Canis lupus familiaris: one gene and its partner. The protein of the gene in region 2 interacts with the protein of the main gene of each other region in a pairwise test. Links are inferred from orthologs where the notes say so. Each region holds a gene or a part of one and is shown on either strand. Other genes may lie near its edges. The genes, in order: ISG20L2 and EML1.

Region 1 (3,901 bases), on a different chromosome or scaffold from region 2:
ACCTCACCATTTCAGGATCTCAAAGCATGAGGGCATGCAACCAAAAAGACAACCAAGAATAAGGCACAAGCTCTCAAGGCCATTCCCCAAGAGGGCTCCAAACAGGTTGTGAACAAAAGCCACAGTCCTACAATCCATGCAGAGCCAGCAGGAACCCCCTGGAAGGGGCCAGACCATCTGAACGTACCCATCTCACACCCTGGCATGGGCACTGTGGAATCCATTTATGACGAAAACTCAATGGGAGCCCAACTGATGAGGTTCCTGCTTGCTCCTAACCGCACCTTCAGTTTACTGTCCACCAACACCTCTACTGTACATTAATTCACATCCAGCCCTCATTCAAGCTGCGCAGATTCGAGATCTCAGACCCATCCCACCTTCTGCCTCTCCCAGCCCTGCTCACTGGTGGCCTGTGGCACACCTCTCAAGTACTTTTATCTAAAACTCAGCACCTTTGCCTCTGATGAAGCGCCTCCAACTAACAGGGAGTGAAAAGAATTAGTGGAACAAAGCATGTCCCAAAAAGACTAAGAATGTGAAGTTGAAAAGACAAAAATACGGACCATGGGCGCCCTCTGGAGGCCTCCGAAGACCAGCTGGTTTCCCCTCCACCTCCTCCCTTTGCCTCCCAGGTTCGCCTTCCTTTTCCTGTCCTGTGATGCTCCCAGGGTCCAGCATGGGGCTACCACAAAGAAGTTTGCTCATGACTGAGGTGAGAGCCCGACACGCAACCCCTCCGCTTCAGGCTACCTGTCCCAAGAATACAAACCACCTAGCTCCTGCCACCAACACTTCCCACACTTGCTTGGGAACCCTCTCCACCTCTCTGTTCTCAACCCCAAACTACCCTCTCCACCTCTCTGTTCTCAACCCCAAACTACATCTCTACAAGGCACTCCCAAATCGAGCCCATTCCCTCGCCATTCACACCTGCTACTCTGCCCTGTGGTGCTCCTAGTCCTCTAGGTTCCTAGTTTCCCAGGTGATGATTCCTTTGGGGAGTTCAGGTCGGTCTCTGCTAACTCGCTTCAGCACAGCCGTTAGCTGTGTAACTTTCTGGGCCTTCACCATGCCTGCACCCTTCATCTGGCAGTCCACTCCCACTTCCCTCCTCCAAACTTCTTTGGCGCCTTCTAGGGCGATATCCTCTGCTGAAAAGGGATCTGCACCTCAGCGCAGCCACCTTGCTGCTCCTGTCGTACCCCATGCCTCTCACCTGGCCCCGTGCAACCTTGAAGGGTGTAGCATTCACCATGTGCTGCTTCCGGATGCCACTCCACCTAGTCCGGTAGTCCACGATGTGGCAGGGCGGAAGGATGTATTCGTCATAGAGCACATCTCCATGGTAGTTGACAATGCTACATCGAGCCAGGGAACTGACATGCCCCTTGGGTCCCGTGCCCACCATTTCACAGTCAATGGCCACCATCTTCTTCGGTGTTTTCTGGGTTGTTCCGGAGCACTTATTGTCTGAATGAGACTGGATGGAATTCTGTGGGGCATTCTTCTGAGTAGGATTCTTCTGGGGGCCCTTCTTGTGGGGGCGAGTTGGGTGGCTCCTAATCTTTGGAAGGGCACTCTGGAACTCCCCCAGCAAATCTACTTTAGCCAAAGCAGAGCCAGCCTTCTGTGAAGGGGCAGGTGTCAGCCACGGCACTGCAGTCTTCTTGTCCAGGGACTGCTCTGGTCCACTGCTGGAGGCAACGGCCTTCTTTTTTGGAAGGGGAGAAACCTTCCAAGTGCCATCCACCTTAGGAGTCTCCCCTTTCTTCATAGGTTCTGAATGTTGCTTTGGTGTCTTGCTCGGGGGCTGGTTCTTCTTATTCAGAAAGCCCCTCCGTTCCAAGAGCCGCCGCTTCTTGACGAATTTTCGATGCTTGGCATTCCCCTCTAAGGCTTTTTTAGGGGGAGGTTCCCCAAAATCCAGATTGAGAAGCAGGGTAGACATGAGGACAGTGGATGGCGGGAAAGCAGTTGGGAAGAGTGGCTTACTGATGACAGCACGACAGAGGACTCATCCTCTGCTGAATCCCACGGGCCCACATCTGGAGGTCTGTAGCACACCCTGGGAAAGAAAGGGAGCCTGATCACAGAGCCTTCAGGCCTGGGAAACAAGACCCGTCTGCGTGGGCTGCAGGTTGGAAAGGCATCCGAGCGACTGCCCAGAGTGGGAACGAATCTGTAACGTGGAGAGATGTCAGGGGCACCGTGTGAGCCAGGAGGGCCTCGGTTGTGGCGCGGCCCCATAATGCACCAGCTGTAGGGCCTGGGAAGGGTCACTGGCACTCTCCAGAGCTAGTCCCATTCGGAAGCGGAGCTGGAAAGCCGGAGCGGGGGCTGCATCGCCCGCCCGGGGAGAGCGGCTGAGCGCGCATGCCGGCAATCGGGGCCGGCCCCCGGGGCCGCCGGTCACCCTCCGCCGGCGCCGCGCCCCAGCCCTGCTCCCGAGACAGGCCCCCTGACCACATGTAGCCGCCCAGGGAACCCAGGCCGCGGGGGTCCCCGCCCAGGAGAGCGCCCCCGACGCTCACACCTACCTCCCGGCAGACGCCGCTACGAGCGGAAGCGCCCGGCGCCGGATGCGGAAGTGGGCGCCCGGCGGCGAGGCCCGGGCCGGCAGGCGCGCGGATTGGACCGCGTCGGGGGCCGGCGTGCGCGCGCCCGCAGCGCCCCCGCCTCCGGGAGGGAGGCCAGGGAGTCTGAGTGCGTGAGCAGCGGCAGGGGCGGCGGCGGCGGGGGCGGCGTGGGGGGCGGCGGGGGCGGGATGCGCTCCCCGGCCCCTCTGGCCCCGTGGAGGTACAACTCGAAGGTGGGACGGCCGCGCCCCGCGGGAAACGCCGCACGCGGGGCCAGCCTCACTTCCGGGGAAGGAGGGAAATGCGCGGGGAGGGGCGAGCCGGGACGCCGCGTCTCGCCTCTGTGACGTGCTGCGCGGTGCTCCGCCCCCCGGGGGCGCCCCCTCCGCGCGGCGTCGCGACCTGTGACGTCAGGGGCGCGTCCCGTCTTCCGCGCCTGCCGACTGCTAGGGAAGGGTCCCCGCGTGGGGACTGGCTCCGGCGCTCTCTCCGCTCAGCGCGCCCCGCTCCCGACGCCGCCGCCTGCCCCCGGGATGCCCGGCGTCTCGGCGCGCGGCCTCTCTCTGGAGCAGAGGAGGCAGCTGGCTGTGAACCTCACCCGCGTGCTGGCGCGCTACCGCTCCATCGTGGACGCCTACATCATCGTGAGGCCCGGGGGGTGTGGGCGGGTGCGCCCGGCGGGCGGAGAATCTGGGGCGCAGGCTTCCGACTTTCTTTTTTTTTTTTTTTTTATGATAGTCACAGAGAGAGAGAGGCAGAGACCTAGGCAGAGGGAGAAGCAGGCTCCATGCACCGGGAGCCCGATGTGGGATTCGATCCCGGGTCTCCAGAATCGCGCCCTGGGCCAAAGGCAGGCGCCAAACCGCTGCGCCACCCAGGGATCCCCGGCTTCCGGCTTTCTATGCGTCTCAGCCTAGTGTCTGTGCGAGAGAGGGTTAGAACCGTCTCCCGTCTCCCCCCGCCCCGTACCTGTTAACATTCCTAGTACACAGGTAGTTTTTCTTACCGTCCCAAGTCCACGGTCAAAGTGTGGACCACAGAGCCCTGCCGGGAACGTGCGAGGTGCTTCTTCACCCGAGCTTTGAGTCAATCCTTGGCTCATCAGTGTAGGGACAGTGAGAGCTCTGGAGGCCGACAGACCAGCTGCCTCCTTTACTGGGCCAGCCTTAGGCGTCTGAAGAAACTCCGCCTAGCCCGGGTTTCTCAGCTGCCGCAGTAATCCCCGTCGGAGGGCTCACCTGAAGAGTAAATGCACTGATGTATGAGTGGCACCAGCGTCCACTGACTGTCAGCCCCCAGACCCAGAAGCATCCTTGGTCCAG
Region 2 (3,901 bases):
TCCCTGAAGTGGCCAGGACAAGACACAACACCTAATTCGTCCCCTTCATTTTCCTCTTCGGCTGCAGCTCACTTACTGGTTGAACAGTAGTAACAGTCACACTTGCTCACAGGAAGCCTGGCGTTCTTTTAAGCGGGTTACACACTTTTGATCACTTAATCCTCATTGGGACTTGAGGAGCTAGTGTCCTGTTATTGTCTCCACGGAACAGATAAGGAAACTGAGGCACCATGACCTCCAGGAACCCGCCCACAGCCACACAGGTGGTGGCTGGTGGGGTTTGTGGGGGCGGCGGCGAACTTTCCCGCTGGAGACACAGGTCCAGAGATAGCTTTCGGAAAATAGGTAGAAATATTTCACAGCAGCCTCCTGGACCCAATCTCTGTCGTGGGGTTGGAATCCTAGAAAGTCTTGAACTTCAGATGACACATTCCAGGAGACCACCCCCCAACAAACACGCACACACCTGCACCCAGGTGTTCTTTCACTCCTGCCTCCCATGATCCGCAGCAGAGACGAAAACCAGGCCACGGTATTTGACAGGCGGGAAGCCAAGTCCCGAGCTCGCCCGGGGTGACCTGCCCAGCCAGGGTGGGCAGAGCCATGACCATGCCTGCCGGCCCCAGCCCAGCTGACCCTCTCCTAAGCAGCGAAGGGGAGGTAAAGGCTGTGTCTCCTCCCAGCCTCCCGGACACACACACACACACACACACACACACACACACGCAGATGCACACGCTCAGCACCCAGTCCATCGCCTCGGCGGGCTAAATATTGTTCTGGCCTTCCTGAAATACCCAGCTCCGTGCGGGTGGTTTTACAAGCTGCTAAAAGCAGGACCGTGTCCCTGGTGGAGGGAGAGAGCTATTCCGGGTTCGTGTCAGGTGTGCGCAGAGCCAGCCAGAAAGGGCCTGTCTGCGGCACCCCCGCCCCCCCATACCGGCTCCTCCGCGGACAATTCTTGGCAGCCTGCACTGCTGACGCCTGGCGGAAGAGGGTGAGGTCAGGCCAGTTTTGTCGGTGTCCCCCTCCCCAACACACACACGCACACACACTCTGTTCCAAATCTGACTTGGCCAGGCCCGGGCGCCAGGACCGTCCATCAGACACCACGCCAGGGGGTGTCACGTTGCCAGCAATCATAAGCACCCCGGGACCCCCAGGACTGCCTGACATGCCCAGGATTCTCCACGGGGCTGCAGGACAGATAAGAAATCCAGGGGACCCCAGATGGGCAGAGGCTTAGGAAAGAAGGCGCCACTGGAGGGGCCAGACAGGGAGGCTCCCGTGCCCCTGGGCTCCTGCCCAGGACCCTCCACCTGCTGCTTCGCGGGGCCATCACTGAGCGTTCACGGCACATCAGGCTGTCACACTTTATCACAATCTGCAATCTGCACAAGCACCTGAGGGGTAGGGACTGTTACCACTGTCCCCTTTTTCACCCGGGGATACTGAGCTTCAGAGCAGTTAAGCTGCTTGCCCAAGGTCGATCACCCAATCTAGAAACGAAAGAATTGGGATTCGAACCCGGGCAGCCTGGATTAGGCTGCCTGCAGCCCCTGCCCCACCCACTGCCAGCTCAGAGGGACGTCTTCCCAGAGCTCGCCTTCAACCGGTAGGAGCCAGGGTGGCCTGCCAGTCCCCAGCAAACCCCTCGCCCCGGGGAGGGCAGAGGGTACGTGGGCAGGCCCCGTTATCTGGCCGCCCCTCTGCCTTCGTGCCCCTGGCCGCTTCCACCCTAGAGGACCCGGGGGCTCACGGAGAGGCGGCCTTGTGCGGGCAGAGCCGGGGCTCAACTCCCCAGAGGTCTCAGACGTTTGGGGGAATCAGATGGAAGCCGTAGGCTCCCCCAGGCCCGTGGCACCCCAGGCCCGCCGAGGGGCCCAGGCGCAGTCCGGCCCCCTGCGCTGCGGGTCGGCTCCGGACTCCCCGGCTGGCAGCGGGAGGGGTTTGCAGCAGGCACAGCTTCCTGTGTAGCCCCGTCGGGAAGACGGGGGGTGCGGCTGAACTTGGCTTGGCGAGGCTGGTCCCCCTTCCAGGCATCAGGCTAGAAAGAAGGGGGTCCAGCCCACAGCTGCCTGCAGCCCGGGGCGGGGGCGCCCGGTGCCCTCAGCGACCAGCAGCCTTGGCTCTGCAACCGGAGCCGCGGCGGGTAAATATAGCGCTGCCACTCACCGGCCGAGGGGCCCTCGCCGTCCGACATGGTGCAGGGGATGGGCGGGCAGCCGGCCACCAGCCCGCAGGGCCGCTCCGAGCCGTCAGTGGCCGTCACCCACCTGGTGGGGCTTGGGCTGCCGGGCCTGCTCCGCGTCCAGTCCCCAGGCAGCTCCCGCCCCAGCCGGCCCGGCGGCCCCCACCGCCCCCCCATGCTGGGCCGGGCAGATAAGAACGTGCTCCAGAGCCAGGAGCCCGCCGGATTGGTGGATAAATCTGGGCACTGCCCTCCCCTGCCCTGGGCCTCTCCCGGGCAGCCTCGGAATGTTGCCTGAGTAACTGCTGCACCCCAGGGTGCTTGGTCAGTCCCCGGCCCCCAGCCCCAGCCCTGGAGACCCCAGAATGCCCGAGCCTCTCGCCCTGGGAATGCTTCCACTCAGCCAACCAGGGGCTTTTCTGGACGTTAGAGAAGAAGACGGAGCGATGCCACCCGCTGAGTCCGTGCCTGGTGCTGCCACGCTGGTCCACCCACTCAGCTCTCCATGACCAGCCGCGACCCACCCAAGGCCACCCGGCCAGTTAGGGGTGTGACCAGAGCCAGACTCTGGAGCCCGACTGTCTGTCTCCAAGGCTACAGGAAGGCGTGGCCCTTGCTTTTGTTTGGCAGACCGTGAGCAGCCACTTCGGGGCACCTCCTGGGTGCCGACCGCTCCACGTGTGTTGGGGGTGCTGTGCGGGGACAGAGGTGAACTCCCTGGGGGAGCTGTGTGACCCATGTCGGGCACAGAGTGGGCACTCAGGAAATATTGGTTGGGAGGACACATCTCAGCAAGCACTTAGTATGCGCTTGCTGCGTGCTTGCCTAAGAGGTAACCCAGTCCTGTTCCTGGGTCCCCACAAGGGCCTGGGCCAGAGACTAGGGCAATGAGGCAAGTAGAGGGCTCTGGGCTCCGTTCCCAGGGGCGTCAGCTCTGGACTGGGTGTCACTGGGCCCCCCACTCCGGGACTCGAGGTCTACCCGGGTCTGCATGCAGGGTGCAGAAGGAGTGAAGTGGTTTAAAGAGGAGAGAAGCTGGTCATCAACCCGAATCCCCCAATACTGGAGGGCTTCCTGGAAGAGCTGGCATTTGAGTTATGTCTGTGAGGAATCTGAAAGTTTTTTCAGGGGGAGAGAGGGCATTCCAGGAAAAGAGACCAGCAGGTGCATAGATAAGAACCAGGAAAGCTTGATTGGAGACTGGCAGGCATCCCCGGCAGGGGCAGGAGGTCACGATCATCCCAAGGAGAGGAGGCTGATATTTGTGAAAGGGCTATGGAAGTCAGGGGAGGCTTCTTGGAAGAGGGGGCAGATGCTGGTGCTCGAGGGTCCACAAGCCTCAGGAAAATGTGAGGGGTGTGGAACAGTATCAGAGGCATCCAGCCGCTCTTCAAAGGCACTGAGGCCTTTCCAGCTCAGAGACCTTGGGGGTGTGAAGACAGGAGGGCCCAGGCTACCATGTTTCAAAGGAACTGCCTTCTGGAGACGGGGTGGGGGAGAGCTGCAGCCACAACAGCCGTCAGAGACCAGCCGTCAGAGGTAACAGCAAAGGAGTTCAATCCCTATAAGGTGGTTCCAGGCCTCCTGGCCTCCTGGCCTTTGCCCGTGCTGTTCCTTTGGTCAGGAATTCCCTGCGCCCCCTCCTCCTCCATGAAGCCTTGTCTGTCCCTGAAGATGGACCGGGGCCCCTGCGTTCTGCTCCACGAGCTG

The links.
Region 1: the proteins of EML1 (region 2) and ISG20L2 interact in binary tests that used the Homo sapiens proteins (3 or more experiments, as listed by UniProt). The two-hybrid records come from large-scale screens. The link is inferred for Canis lupus familiaris from reciprocal best matches to the Homo sapiens genes EML1 and ISG20L2.

Annotation. Positions count from the first base shown.
Region 1 is NC_049228.1:41,238,895-41,242,795, reverse strand, and holds the start of ISG20L2 (interferon-stimulated 20 kDa exonuclease-like 2), read right to left. Parts: upstream 2,583-3,901; 5' UTR 2,541-2,582; intron 2,069-2,540; 5' UTR 1,952-2,068; coding exon 1,220-1,951; intron 1-1,219. Other genes in the region: protein RRNAD1, read left to right, coding at 2,881-3,223. UniProt on the Homo sapiens protein: 3'-> 5'-exoribonuclease involved in ribosome biogenesis in the processing of the 12S pre-rRNA. Displays a strong specificity for a 3'-end containing a free hydroxyl group.
Region 2 is NC_049229.1:68,515,450-68,519,350, reverse strand, and holds the start of EML1 (echinoderm microtubule-associated protein-like 1), read right to left. Parts: upstream 2,402-3,901; 5' UTR 2,369-2,401; coding exon 2,176-2,368; intron 1-2,175. UniProt on the Homo sapiens protein: Modulates the assembly and organization of the microtubule cytoskeleton, and probably plays a role in regulating the orientation of the mitotic spindle and the orientation of the plane of cell division.